3 linked regions of the Coturnix japonica genome follow. The protein of the gene in region 1 interacts with the protein of each later gene in a pairwise test. Links are inferred from orthologs where the notes say so. Each region holds a gene or a part of one and is shown in the gene's direction. Other genes may lie near its edges.

Evidence for each region. The genes of interacting proteins can lie anywhere in the genome.
Region 2: the proteins of SAR1A (region 1) and ATXN1 interact in binary tests that used the Homo sapiens proteins (3 or more experiments, as listed by UniProt). The link is inferred for Coturnix japonica from reciprocal best matches to the Homo sapiens genes SAR1A and ATXN1.
Region 3: the proteins of SAR1A (region 1) and SLC38A7 interact in binary tests that used the Homo sapiens proteins (3 or more experiments, as listed by UniProt). The link is inferred for Coturnix japonica from reciprocal best matches to the Homo sapiens genes SAR1A and SLC38A7.

Annotation. Positions count from the first base shown.
Region 1 is NC_029521.1:9,530,767-9,534,930, forward strand, and holds the start of SAR1A (GTP-binding protein SAR1a), read left to right. Parts: upstream 1-1,364; 5' UTR 1,365-1,485; intron 1,486-1,589; 5' UTR 1,590-1,606; coding exon 1,607-1,664; intron 1,665-1,776; coding exon 1,777-1,896; intron 1,897-2,221; coding exon 2,222-2,287; intron 2,288-3,284; coding exon 3,285-3,388; intron 3,389-3,701; coding exon 3,702-3,833; intron 3,834-4,164. Other genes in the region: PPA1 (inorganic pyrophosphatase), read left to right, coding at 909-940. UniProt on the Homo sapiens protein: Small GTPase that cycles between an active GTP-bound and an inactive GDP-bound state and mainly functions in vesicle-mediated endoplasmic reticulum (ER) to Golgi transport.
Region 2 is NC_029517.1:67,238,935-67,242,940, forward strand, and holds the start of ATXN1 (ataxin-1), read left to right. Parts: upstream 1-1,206; 5' UTR 1,207-1,546; intron 1,547-2,076; exon of another isoform or gene 2,077-2,320; intron 2,321-2,351; exon of another isoform or gene 2,352-2,823; intron 2,824-4,006. UniProt on the Homo sapiens protein: Chromatin-binding factor that repress Notch signaling in the absence of Notch intracellular domain by acting as a CBF1 corepressor. Binds to the HEY promoter and might assist, along with NCOR2, RBPJ-mediated repression. Binds RNA in vitro.
Region 3 is NC_029526.1:1,143,885-1,148,028, forward strand, and holds the start of SLC38A7 (putative sodium-coupled neutral amino acid transporter 7), read left to right. Parts: upstream 1-1,344; 5' UTR 1,345-1,452; intron 1,453-1,744; 5' UTR 1,745-1,857; intron 1,858-1,955; 5' UTR 1,956-2,103; coding exon 2,104-2,370; intron 2,371-2,592; coding exon 2,593-2,791; intron 2,792-2,933; coding exon 2,934-3,078; intron 3,079-3,263; coding exon 3,264-3,362; intron 3,363-3,764; coding exon 3,765-3,822; intron 3,823-3,916; coding exon 3,917-4,031; intron 4,032-4,144. Other genes in the region: GOT2 (aspartate aminotransferase, mitochondrial), read left to right, coding at 135-257. UniProt on the Homo sapiens protein: Symporter that selectively cotransports sodium ions and amino acids, such as L-glutamine and L-asparagine from the lysosome into the cytoplasm and may participates in mTORC1 activation. The transport activity requires an acidic lysosomal lumen.

The DNA of each region.
Region 1 (4,164 bases):
AGGACTTCCTCAGGGGAACTGTCAGTAGGTAAAGGAGGATCAAGACTGGCAGCTACAGGCCTTGTCAAACCTGTCTTGTCTCAGTAATGCTGTTCAGTTGCCACATCACTTGTACTGGGGCCTTACTTCCTTACTATGGTACGTGAGGCTGGGATATGAGCAGGGGATCTGGGATGCCACTTCACTGTGGAGGAAGTTTGATCTGTAGCAGTCCCTTAGTGCTGGAAGAAGGATGCCTCAGAGGCCTGAAGTGAATTGGTAGCAGCAGCATTTTCACTACTTCCTCCCATGTGGGGTTTCATCAGTGTCATCAGTCCAGGTGAAGTGAGGAAGGAAAGCACTTCATCTCCATGAAGAGGGGCAGAAAATGGCCATGAGTGCAGTGCTTCAGCTGCTGCTGACAGAGGCTTTGTCACTAAGCAAGTGGCAGCTGCAAGCTAGTAGGTTTTCTGCATGTCAGGACCTGGTCTGTTGTGCAGCACAAAGCTGCATAGGAAAGTGACGACTGTGGGACAACTCCTGGGGCCAGCTGAGTCAGATGGGTGCGAGGGAAGCAGTGCTGCCAGCCCCTTGGCAGGGCCATGTGGTTGCTTCTCATGGCTTGCTGAGTACAGCCAGCATCCTCAGGGCATCACTGCATGTAGGGCATGTGATGCAACTGGTAGGAGCTTGTGCAAAGTGCTGAGCTGGAGGTGATGCATATAGCACCATGGAAGGCAGCTTTTGGGCCAGCCCACACTTGAGAGGGCTTTTCCAGCTTTAATGACCCATCTCAGATTGCTTCACCACCACCTCCTTGCAGCGAGGGATGAGGTCTTTCCTTTGAACCTGCTGTGCTCCAGACTGAACCATGGCAGTTCTTGCAGTGTCCATACAGGACTAACCCTGCTTTGTTCCGCCCCGTGCAGTTGACAGGTGGTTCTATTACCAGAAGAACTGAAGGCTGAGGCTGTGTGCTGAGGAGCTGCTCCCTTTGCATCCCAGAGTCACCACATGCAGGAGTAGCCCAGAAGAACAGCACTGGTGACAAGGCACCTATGACTGACACCAATTAGCACCATCTAACCATGACCTGGTACATTGGCTCTGGTGGAGGTAGAAGATAGAACTTTAAATCAAAAGCTGCTGCTTGTGCGCGGTGTCCTGGTGTGTCTGTAACCATCTGCACATAAAGCCGTGCGGGTGCAGAGGTTCACCCAGTGCTGGATGTTAAAATAAAACTACTGAGCTCTGCGTGCTGTGCTCCTTCCTTTGCAATGAGGCGGATCTCGCTCTGCCCGGCGGTGGATGGTTGGAACTTCAGCAGGGACTTGAGCGGGATTCGAACCCGCGGTCATGTCGCGGTGTGGGCGGGCTCCGCTTGACGTCACGGCGCGGAGCCGACGTGGAGCCAGCGCGGCGGGGCGGAAGCGGGCGGGGCGCAGGAGCGACGCAGTTCCGGCGGGAGCTGGCGGCACAACGGGAGCGGGGTCCGTGCGGCCGGAGGTGGGAACCGGGAACCGGGCCGGGAATAGGGCGGGGATAGGGATAGAGCGGGGGGACAGCGGGGGAACGGGGGGATACGTGACTGATCCCGGCTGTGCCCGCAGGCGCTCCATCCTCAGCGATGTCGTTCATCTTCGAGTGGATCTACAACGGGTTCAGCAGCGTGCTGCAGTTCCTGGGTGAGGCCCCTCGTGCATTAGGCTTCATGTTTTCCCGTCCCTCTGGTTGCTGTGTGACCGTCCCGGTGTCAGCCGGCTCCATCGGGGACACGCGGCTGTTTGTTCCCTGCAGGGCTCTACAAGAAGTCTGGCAAACTTGTGTTCCTGGGCCTGGATAATGCGGGCAAAACCACACTGCTGCACATGCTCAAGGACGACCGGCTGGGCCAGCACGTCCCCACGCTGCACCCCAGTATGTCTGCACTGCGCCCAGGGGAACTGGTAGCTTGGCTTCAGATATAGAGGCCAAGAAGGGGTGTGGGTTAGTGGATAGCACACACTGCTCCTGGGGAGGGAGAGGGTTCACAACATCCCAACTTGGAACAGACCCATAGGGATCATTGAGCCCAACTCCTGGCTGTGCAATATGACATAAACACACATTAATAAGAGCACCCCTAAGTAATAGACAAGGAAGGAACAAATATCCTACACAAGGGCCTTGTGATGCTGGTGCACACCCCCAAGAACCATTAGCTGTAGTAATTGCTTTCTTTTCTTGTGTTCTTGCTTTCCAGCCTCAGAAGAGCTGACAATTGCTGGCATGACTTTCACTACTTTTGATCTGGGTGGACATGCTCAAGGTACGTGCCAGCTTACTGATTTCAGTTGTGTTCCCCGGCCACCTCTGGAAAGATTAGAAAGAGCTCCCCAAAAGAGATGCTGGAGAGTGATGGGAATTGGCCATATCCAACTGCTTGTAGCTTGATAGTGGTTGTGGAGTGTAACAATCAGGAAGATCAACACAGTGGAAAGGTAACACAACAGGTATAATGATAGAGGGACTAACACAATAGAAAGGTGTTATAAAGGAAGGAAAAAGGACTGCTCACCTGTCTCTGAAGATCCAGGCTCACAGGGGAAAACTCCACAAAGGAGGGATCTTCAGAAAGAGATCCTTCCCCAGCAGCATCCAGCCTTTAAAAGAGGACTGAGAGGTGCAGCCAGGCTCCACCCCTTATGTCCATGCAGCTGGATTGCCTTCACCTGTGCTCCCAGGGCTGACGGGACCTTTCCCCAGGTGCTCAATCAGTGGTTCAGGCCGTGACTCAACAGTTACCACACATGGAACTATTAGTGGAAGTGGCCTGGCTCTAGGAAACTGGTTGTTTCAGTGGCTAAATAATTGTGCTTTATTCTGGCAGCTTGGAAAAACAAAAAAAGCTGCCAGCTCACACTCTGCTGCTTGAAATAGTTTTAGCTGTGGAAGGTTCGTACGTCACAGCCTTATTCTTCTGAATAATCTCTGAATTTCTGTCTTTAGATTTCCTTTCTTGAAGTCCTAAGAAAAGTGTTTCTGTGTATTTTTCTGAATGCCCACGAGCAGGCTGACAGTCAGGGGCTGTTGTTGCAACAGGAACAGCACCCATCAGTATTGCGTAGACACACTCGCTGTGCACACGTGTTGGCTGCCTGCTGACAAGCGTCTGTCACACAGCAGTGATCTGATCACTTGTGAAAGTGCAGAGAGCATGAGCAGCACGGCGGGCTGTCACCAGCAGCCCCAGGAAGCAGTGGGGCTCCGCTGTGGGCACAGCACCCTGCTGTTCTCACAGGAGCTGTTGGTCTCTTGCCTTGCAGCCCGCCGGGTGTGGAAGAACTACCTGCCCGCCATCAATGGGATCGTCTTCCTGGTGGACTGTGCAGATCACTCCCGGCTTATGGAATCCAAAGTTGAGCTTAATGTAAACTTCTTGGTTTTGTTGGTTTTTTTTTTTTCCTTTCCCTGACACCTTTGACTGGCCACATTATAAATAATGTTCTTATTTGGTGGGATGGGACTTGAGGCAGCCTAGATGCTGTGGGGTGACTGTAGGCTCCTGAGCACACTTTAAGGAAGGGTCCTGCAAAGCCCCTTCTGGGAAGAACCCTCCCATGGGAGCGCTGTAGCACCAGGGATTAACCCTTGTGGGTCCCAGAGCTTACCAAAACGAAGCTTTCCTCAGATGACAGATGCTTGTGCTGCCTCTGTGTAACTTAAAGCTGTCTTGCACGCAGGCGCTAATGACAGATGAAACAATATCCAATGTGCCAATCCTTATCTTGGGCAACAAAATCGACAGACCCGAGGCCATCAGTGAGGAGAAACTGCGGGAGATCTTCGGGCTTTACGGACAGACCACGGGGAAGGTAGGGAGGCACGTGGTCTGGGTACTGCACAAGTACATGTTCCTTGCAGAGGGAGGTGCCCTGTGGAAGCCAAGTGGTTTGTTCCTGTGCATTTGTCCTAAACATTTGACTAGGCCGAACCTTTAATAACAGCGATGCCCTCAGGCGAGTTTTGAAACATCCAGAGTTGTGCAAAGCACAGTTGTCCTAGTTAGGAAATCAGGTGTTGTGCTGGAGTTTGACAGTGGTAGCACATTGCCAGACTCTTCTGGTTTCATTACTCCAAATTTTGTTCAGCTTACCACCTCTCCACGTTGTCACTGTATGCTTAGAGTCGATCAGAAGTAACAGC
Region 2 (4,006 bases), on another chromosome or scaffold:
GTACCAACTCTCAGTCATGAGCTGTGCAGATTACCATGTTGTTAGCACATTCTCTAGGAAATATAGAGGACGAGTACAGTCATTCATAGAAGGGACTGCTTTGCTGATCTGCATACTGACAGAGCCCTAGGGTCTTTTGCATCCAGACTAACGCTAGATCCAATGCTGAAACACAGCGGTACTACCTGTGGACACACACGTGACACATCGGCACTACAGACATCTGCTCGGAGCTCACAGCTGTGCTGGGGGGGGGGGATTGGAAGAGGCTCAAACAACAGCCCGCTCTGGGCAGCCACGGCACAGGGAGCGCACGTGCTGCTCTCGGAGCCCTTCTGGAGCTGAGACCCAGCCTTGGGGGTTTATGCAGCATTTCGTGTGGTGACTTTGGGATGGGGAGAGGCTTTCCCGGCGCCGTGCGTGCCTTCCTGATGCCAAAGCAGAGCGAGCGGTTCCCTGCGCGGCAGTCGGGTTGCCAGCAAGCAGAGCAGACGCCGTCCCGTGCCTGTGTTCCTCCCATTCATTTATTCGGGGAGAGGCGGGCAGTGGTCTGCGCGCAGCCGGGAGAGACGAGCGAGGATTGTGCCGGAGCGCGTACGAGGAGCGCAGCGGGAGCGAGTACCCAAACATGCGTGGTGCAGCCCTGCCCGCCTCGTAGTGCGGCGACGGAATGAGTCAGAGCCTCTTTGGTCTGAATGAAGTGGAAGGTACTCTCTACAAAGCAACTCGAGCATACGCCAAGGATCCGGAAAAATAAAACTAATTCAGAAAACGGGAGTGGGATGCGGGCTCCTGCGCTACGACGCTTTGAACGGCAAAACGCAATATGGCATCTTAAATAAAATCACCCTCCCCTGACTCTCACGGCGCTGCCTCCGAGCCGTCCCTGGCTCGGGTTTATTTCCTCCCTTAGCGACAGCCCGGCCGAGGCCGCCGCTCCCGCATCCTGGCCCCGCTCTGCTCCCCCCGCTGGGCAGCGCGTCCCTCCCGGTGCCCGCCGGTGCGTCCCTCAGCACAGCGGGCGTCGGGGCGAGGAACGGCCGGGCTGGGGGGGTAAAAAGGGGGGAGGAGGAGGAGGGCGGCTCGGCCCCGGGCGGCCTCCAAAGGGTTAAGGCCGGCGGCCCCGGCGGTGCTGAGCGTATGCAATAATCTGTGTGGCTCTCTTGGCCGCCCGCCAGAGTGCTGCCTTGCCTCCTCCTCCTCCTCCTCCTCCCCCCCGCCCCCCCCTTTCGCGTGAAGTAGGATCCTTGAGCTGTTGCAGAGGCAGCCAACTGCTCCATATTTGGCTTCTATTACACATTTACATACTGGAGAGCGGAGCGGCAGCGAGCGCTGTACTGCAGACATCATTTCTACTACAGCGCCGGAGCAGCCCGGAGCGTGTCCCCGCGGGGGAAGGAGCCCTCACTTACACACACATACACACGCACACATATACACACACACACACACATACACACCCGCAGACCCCCACCCCGGGAGGACGGCGGTGCTCGAGTCTCAGTCCGACCCCCCCCGCCAGCCCCACCTCCACTGACACTTTACAGTAAGTGCCTTTTTCTTCCTCCTCTGCTTTCTGCCCCTCCACCCCCCCCGCTCCTCCTCCTCCTCCCCCGGCTTCTCCCCTTGTTTGGGCTGCGGAGCCGCCCGCGGTTCCCGGCTGGAAAAACACGGGGCTGGGGGCGGCTCTGTGCGTGTATATGTGTGTATGTGTGTGTGTGTATATGTGTGTGTGTGTGTGTATATGTGTGTGCGGGGGGGCAGCGCTGCGGCCCGGCCTCAGGGCCCGGCCCGGGCGGGGGCCGCGACATGGCCGAGGGCAGCGGCCTGGGCCCGGGGCCGGGGCTCGCACGGCCCTCCCGCTCCTCCTCCTCCTCCTTCCTTCTCCCTCACCCCGCCGGCAGGGTGGACATTTTGCGAGCGGCGGCCTCGGGGTGTGTGTTTGTAGCCGGGTGTGTATGTGTAGATGTGTGTGTGTGTGTGTGTGTGTGTGTGGCGGTGCGGTGCGTGACGGGGTGGTGACACGGCCCCTCCGTGTGTGTGTGTGTGTGTGTGTGTGTGTGGGAGAGAGGAGGGGGGGGGCCGCGGCCGGGCCGCACGGCGCATGTAGTAGGGGCTGGGCGGCCGCTGAGGGTGAATGAAGCGAGCGGGCGGCGGAGGAGGCGGCGCTGGGACGGGGATGTGGCCGGCGGCCGCCCCGCGCCGCTGCTGTCGGGGCCCAGGCCGCCTGCGGACAACGCCCGGTACCGCCGCCGGGGGAGCGCGGGCGGGAGGGCCGCGGGGCAGCGCCACTTTAACCCCGGCCGGAGCTCGGGGTCGGGTCGGTGTCGTTCGCTATTACCCCACCCCCACCCCGGTAGGGACGCGGACGCCGCGATCCGCGAGCGCGATTCCTGGGGGTATCGAAGTCTCAATTAAACGCGCTGCGAAACGTCAGCGCCCGCTGTAATAGCGATAAGAACGCGACGGAGCGGGGAGCGCAGAGGAGGAATTACCGAGCGGCACTGACGGAGGAGCAAACAAGTCGGAAGCCGTTATATAATGCGGGGAGCGGCGGCTGGTTGGGCGCCGCTGACCGCACGGAGCGCAGCGCCGGGCCGAGCCGTGTGGGGGGACATCCCGCTCGGTGCCGGGCGCCGCGGGCTGTTTGTCCGTCCGTCCGTGCGTGCGGCGGCGCAATGAGGGCTTTTAATTTCGGTTTCGAGCCCTTCCGCGGCGGTGCGGGCCCGGGCCCTTCACGCAGCCCTTCGGAGACCGCCCGGCCCCGCTCCGCCGAACGATGAGAGAGCGCTGCTATGGCAACAGACAGCCCCGGCCGCTCAGGTGTGCGCGCCGTGAGCCCCGCCGCCTCCGTGCGGGGTGCGGGGACAGGGACGGGGGGAGGCACCGCACAGCGGCTCCGTCAGGGCGCTGCGGGAGCACGGAAACTTTGCCGCTGCTCCTCGCACCCAGCCCGGCTCCGTAGGGCCGGGAATTGTTGGTACCGCTGGGAACGTGAGCAAGGAGCTGTGCGCTGAGGGGCAGCCGGCTTCCTTTGCCCTCGGTGAACAAACCCGAGGGGGCATATCGTATAAACATCGCCACGCGGCTCGTTGCTGATATTCCGATTGATACCACTTTGCGTTTGTGCTCGTTAACATACAGCAGAGAGCGAAACTTTCCGCCCCGTACGGCGTGTTGCCGTGTTGGAGCGGGCAGTGCGGCTCCTGCCCTCCCGGAGCAGCTCATGCCGGCCCTTCCCCTCGTTGCCCGCACACGGGCGCAGGCGTCGCTTCGTGCAGGCACCGAATGTGGCGCTGAGTCGTAATGCCGCGGGCCTGGAGCGGCTCCAGGGGCTGCTTGAGAGCCGCGCACACCGTGTGTATATCTGGGGTAGCTCCGCTCGTTGGACTCCGGCCAGGCGCAGAGCAGAGTAGCAGAGCTCAGGCGCTGATCCGCTGCCTGCAGCCATCGTTTTCCCAATATCTTACCACGGCAAAAAGCAACGTGGGATTTTTTTTGCCCCCTGGAGGTGCCGCGTTAGCCACGTGCGTCCACGCTGCTACGGAGCGCAGCCCGGAGCACTTCGCATCTCGGCGGTGAGAAGCTGCCGGCACCGTGAAGCACACACACAATCACAGCATCACAGAATGACCCGGGTTGGAAGGGACCTCAAGGATCATGTAGTTCCAACCCCCTGCCTGGCAGGGCCACCAAACATACACATTTACTAGATCAGGAGCACCGGAGCTCCCCGGCAGCCCCTGGGCAGTGCACGGTGCCGGCAACTTCTCACCGCATCTCTTCTCCCTGCCCTGCTGTGATTTACTCGGAGAGGCTGAAGGAACCGGTCTTTTATTGTAAGAGACATTTACAAGAGGCCTGGAATTGCACTTAACGAACATTTTTATGTAATAGATCCAGTGGCCTAGTTTCATCTTAATTAAGAAAATAGACGTTAGATGCGCTCACCTGAAAAGCAACTGATTGAAACATTAGGATGCGAAAGTATTGGTCTCAGAGCAAA
Region 3 (4,144 bases), on another chromosome or scaffold:
CCCAGAGCTCTGCAGGTGGTTGGATGACGTGTCTGCTGGCACCCAGCTTGTGTTTGGTTCTAGCAGGCTGTGTAAATCTGCACTCCAGCAATAGAATAGAGGGCTTCAATTTGGTCTCTGCTCTTTCATCCCAGGTGGAGCGGCTGACGAAGGAGTTCTCCATCTATATGACAAAGGATGGCCGAATCTCCGTGGCAGGAGTTGCATCGAGCAATGTAGGCTACCTGGCTCACGCCATCCATCAAGTCACAAAGTAAAGACAGAGGCGTGCTCTGGAGCTGCTGGCCTTCCCCACGGCTCAAAGAAGGGGAAGGAAGGAAGGAAGGAAGGAAAACGCTTCCAACCACAGCACTTAATGCCGCTGCTGAATGTATCTTGTAGATGAGTTGTCATAGAAGCCTCTAGTTCAAATTGCACCGCGTTGTGGAGCAAGGACATAATTGCTGGCTCCCTGTCGCCATAGCCATTCTCTCCTGCTGCTTGTCCTTTGTCCATCAGCCCCAACACCCATCTGCACTGGAGGGAGTTAGAGGTTACTGCTCTGCATCCTACCGGCGGACACACCAAAGGCATCCCTGTGCTTGTCTCTCCACAAGAGGGCTGTACCAGGCTGCTCACTGACAGCAGCAGGCAGGGAGCAGGGTGGGCTGGGGGGGCACGTTTGGGTTCACCTGGTGAGCCGGGCTCAGCCCGTCCCTGCTGCCTGCAGGCTCTGTCCTCCTCCACCCTCTGCTGCTGGACTCGGGCTTAGCCCAGCGCTGGGCAGTGCTGCAGCTGCCATCCAACAGGGAGCGTAAAGGCTCTGAGGACTTGTCACTACTACAGTGTGCTCCACTGTGGGCTTGGTTTCCATCTGGGACTCTGTCAGGTGTCATTCACAGTGGCATTGGTGTGTGTGTGTGTGTGTGGCAGGCTCCTGTCACTGCTCCCAACCTCTGCTCCCATGCTCCGAGGTCAATTTCTTGTCCTTCAATACGAACTTCCTCTGAAACCTGCTCTCTGTGGCTCTGTGTGTCTCCCCACCCCCTGCAGCCCCGTCACATCAGCCCTGTGAGCCCAGATGAGCTGGGCTGTGTCCAGCCTGACCCGGGGATGCTGTGACATCTGCCTCATCCGCTCCATCCCAAGGGCTGCTGATGGTAAATGCAGGACGGAAGGCTCCCAAGGGCGGTCTGAGCGTTGGCCGTGCAAAAACCATCCTCTCCTCGTGCTGGCTGCCCGCAGCTCGGGCTGCCCAGACCCACGCACGGGCTGCGGCGCTCGCTGCCCTCATGGCTCCGCTCCGAGCTCCGATCCAACCGGAGCCGCTCAGGGAGGCGTGGCGGGGGGCGGGCGGCGCCGGCGCGGTTGCGGTGAGCGGGGCGGGGCGGTGCGACCCCGGCGGGGGGAGGGACACGCGTGGGCACGGCGGTGGGAGCCGGCTCCGGACCGCAGAGACAGTGCCCCGCCCGGGTGAGCGGGGGGTCCCTGGGCCGGGGGGGCTGGGGGTACCCTCGGGGTGTAACCTGTGCGTGGGGGCTGCGTGCCGTGCCGCCGGGTTAAACAGCCCGAAGGCGGAGCGCGGCCCGGGCGGGAGGCCCGGAGCTTCCCCTGGGCCGTGCGGGTGGCTCCGTCCGTGCTGCGTGGCGGTGCGTGGGTCGGGGCGGCTGCCCGGCGCATGTTCCCGCAGCGCTGTGTGCCCGGCCGTGCGCTGCCGTGGTCGCTGCGGGTCTCGCTGAGCCCGGCCCTGACCTTTCCCCCGCAGCCCGTGCGCGGCAGCTTGTGCAGAGCTTGCAGGAATTGGGGCCGGGATTGAGGAAGCCCGGCGGGGCTCGTGCCCGCAGCGATGCGCGTCCCCGTGCGGCCGGCCAGGCCGAGGTGAGCTCCGCTTCCCGCAGTACCCGTGTGCCGTTCCCCACCGGCTCTCTCTATCGGGGGCCGTAGCGGTACCGGAGGATCCTCGCGTTCTCCTGCAGCCCTTTGTAGGAGTCGCACAGCAGCGCCTGGCTGTTTGCTGTCGCCAAACCCAATGGAGCCAACGCTGCCCCGCGGCACTCGGCTGAGCCCGGTGCAGCAGCGCTAGTGGGACGCACGGCGGGAGGAGCGGGCGCTGCCGGCGGGAGGATGGCTCAGGCCGCTGGGAGCATCAACACCGACTACAGGGACTGGGAGTGGAGCGACGATGCCGGGGAACGGGCCCGGCTCCTGCAGAGCCCCAGCGTGGAAGCGGTGCCGAAGAGCGAGGAGAGCCCAGGGAACGGCGCCGGGGCCACGTCGGCGCTGGGCGCGGTGTTCATCGTGGTGAATGCTGCTCTCGGGGCCGGGCTGCTCAACTTCCCGGCTGCCTTCAACATGGCTGGTGGTGTAGCTGCGGGCATTGCCCTGCAGATGGTGAGAGATGGGCTGGGACGGACCTTGTCCCAAGCCTGGAGAGACTGGGGGGGTTGTAGGGCTGTGGGGAGGAGGAGATGTTGGGTGGAAGCCCCCCGGGTGAAGCAGAGGTTAGGACCCATGGGGGGCAGTAGTGATGCTGTCTGCATTTTGGGGTGGCTTTGGGGACGTTAGCTTGCTGCTGCCTCACTTTGTCCCCTTCCCATCTCTCCCTCCCCGCAGTGCATGCTGATCTTCATCATCGGAGGGCTGGTCATCCTGGCGTACTGCTCGCAGGCCAGCAATGAACGCACCTACCAAGAGGTGGTGTGGGCTGTGTGTGGGAAGGTGCCAGGTGTGCTGTGCGAGGTGGCCATCGCCGTTTATACCTTTGGCACCTGCATTGCTTTCCTCATCATCATCGGAGACCAAGAGGACAAGAGTGAGTGCCCCAAGGGTGTGACCCTTCGGGTAGATGCGGCGCTGACCAACATGGTTGGGGCTGGAATGGATTGGGGTTGGACCTTAGTGGTCTTTTCCAACCTAAATGATTCTGTGATTCTCTGAGCTATCTCTGCCCACAGTCATTGCTGCTCTGGTGACGGAGCCTGAGGAAGCAGGGAGCAGCCGCTGGTACACGGACCGCAAGTTCACCATCAGCATCACCGCCTTCCTCCTCATCCTCCCCCTCTCCATCCCCAAAGAGATTGGCTTCCAGAAATACGCCAGGTGGGTACGAGAGCCCTGCAGGCCTGGGGGGGTGGGCTGAGGAGAGGGGTAACGGTACCTGGTGTCTTCCTTGGGGGAGGAGAAGAGCAGGGATCATCCTGGTTGGAGGGGTTGGGATGGCAGGTGGAGATACCCTCAGACATCCTCAGAGCTGGATGCTGACAGCTTGCTGTCCCCTCCTGCAGCTCTCTGAGTGTGATTGGCACGTGGTATGTCACCGCAGTCATCATCATCAAGTACATCTGGCCTGACAAGGAGCTCGTGCCCGTGGAGATCCCTACCAGGTGTGTGTGCAAGAGACGTAATGCTGATGGTCTCATCTGGATCTCCAGTGCTCCAGCACGGGATTTGAGGAGAACAATTCCCTTCTAGCTCTGCTACAGCTGCATCAAACCCCAGCAAGGAGAGGTCGGGGTCTCCTTTGGGTGATTTTTGGTTCTTTCCTTTGCTGGTGTGGCTTCTTTTCCTTCCCCGTGTGGGACTTTCTGGACTCACTGTGGTCAGGGAATTTTAGGGCAGAGCAGAGTTAAGATCAGTTTTTGGCACTGCCCAAAGGAAAACCTTTATCCATGCAAAAGCTCTGTCCCGGGTGGGAGGAACTGGTGGCTGAGCTGGGGGCAGATCAGCAGAGGACCACACAGTTTGGATGTGCCCCCGCTCTGACCAGTGGCCGTTTCTCTCCCCAGCCCCTCCACCTGGATGGCCGTGTTCAACGCCATGCCCACCATCTGCTTTGGATTCCAGGTAGCTTCGTGCAGCACACGGGATCTTGTGCATCTCCCCGCTGCTCTGACTCGTCCCATATCGTGTCCCCTCACTCTCTTTGTGTCTCTGGCAGTGCCATGTTAGCAGCGTGCCCGTCTTTAACAGCATGAAGCAGCCAGAGGTGAAGACGTGGGGAGCAGTGGTGACAGCAGCCATGGTGATCGCTCTCTTTGTCTATACTGGCACTGGTAAGTGAGGGGACCCCATGGTCCTTGGAGGAGCTGTGAGCTCCTGGGGACAGGCACTGGTCAGCAGAGGTAACTTGAACACGCATCCAGGAGGGTCTTTCCCTGCCCCATCT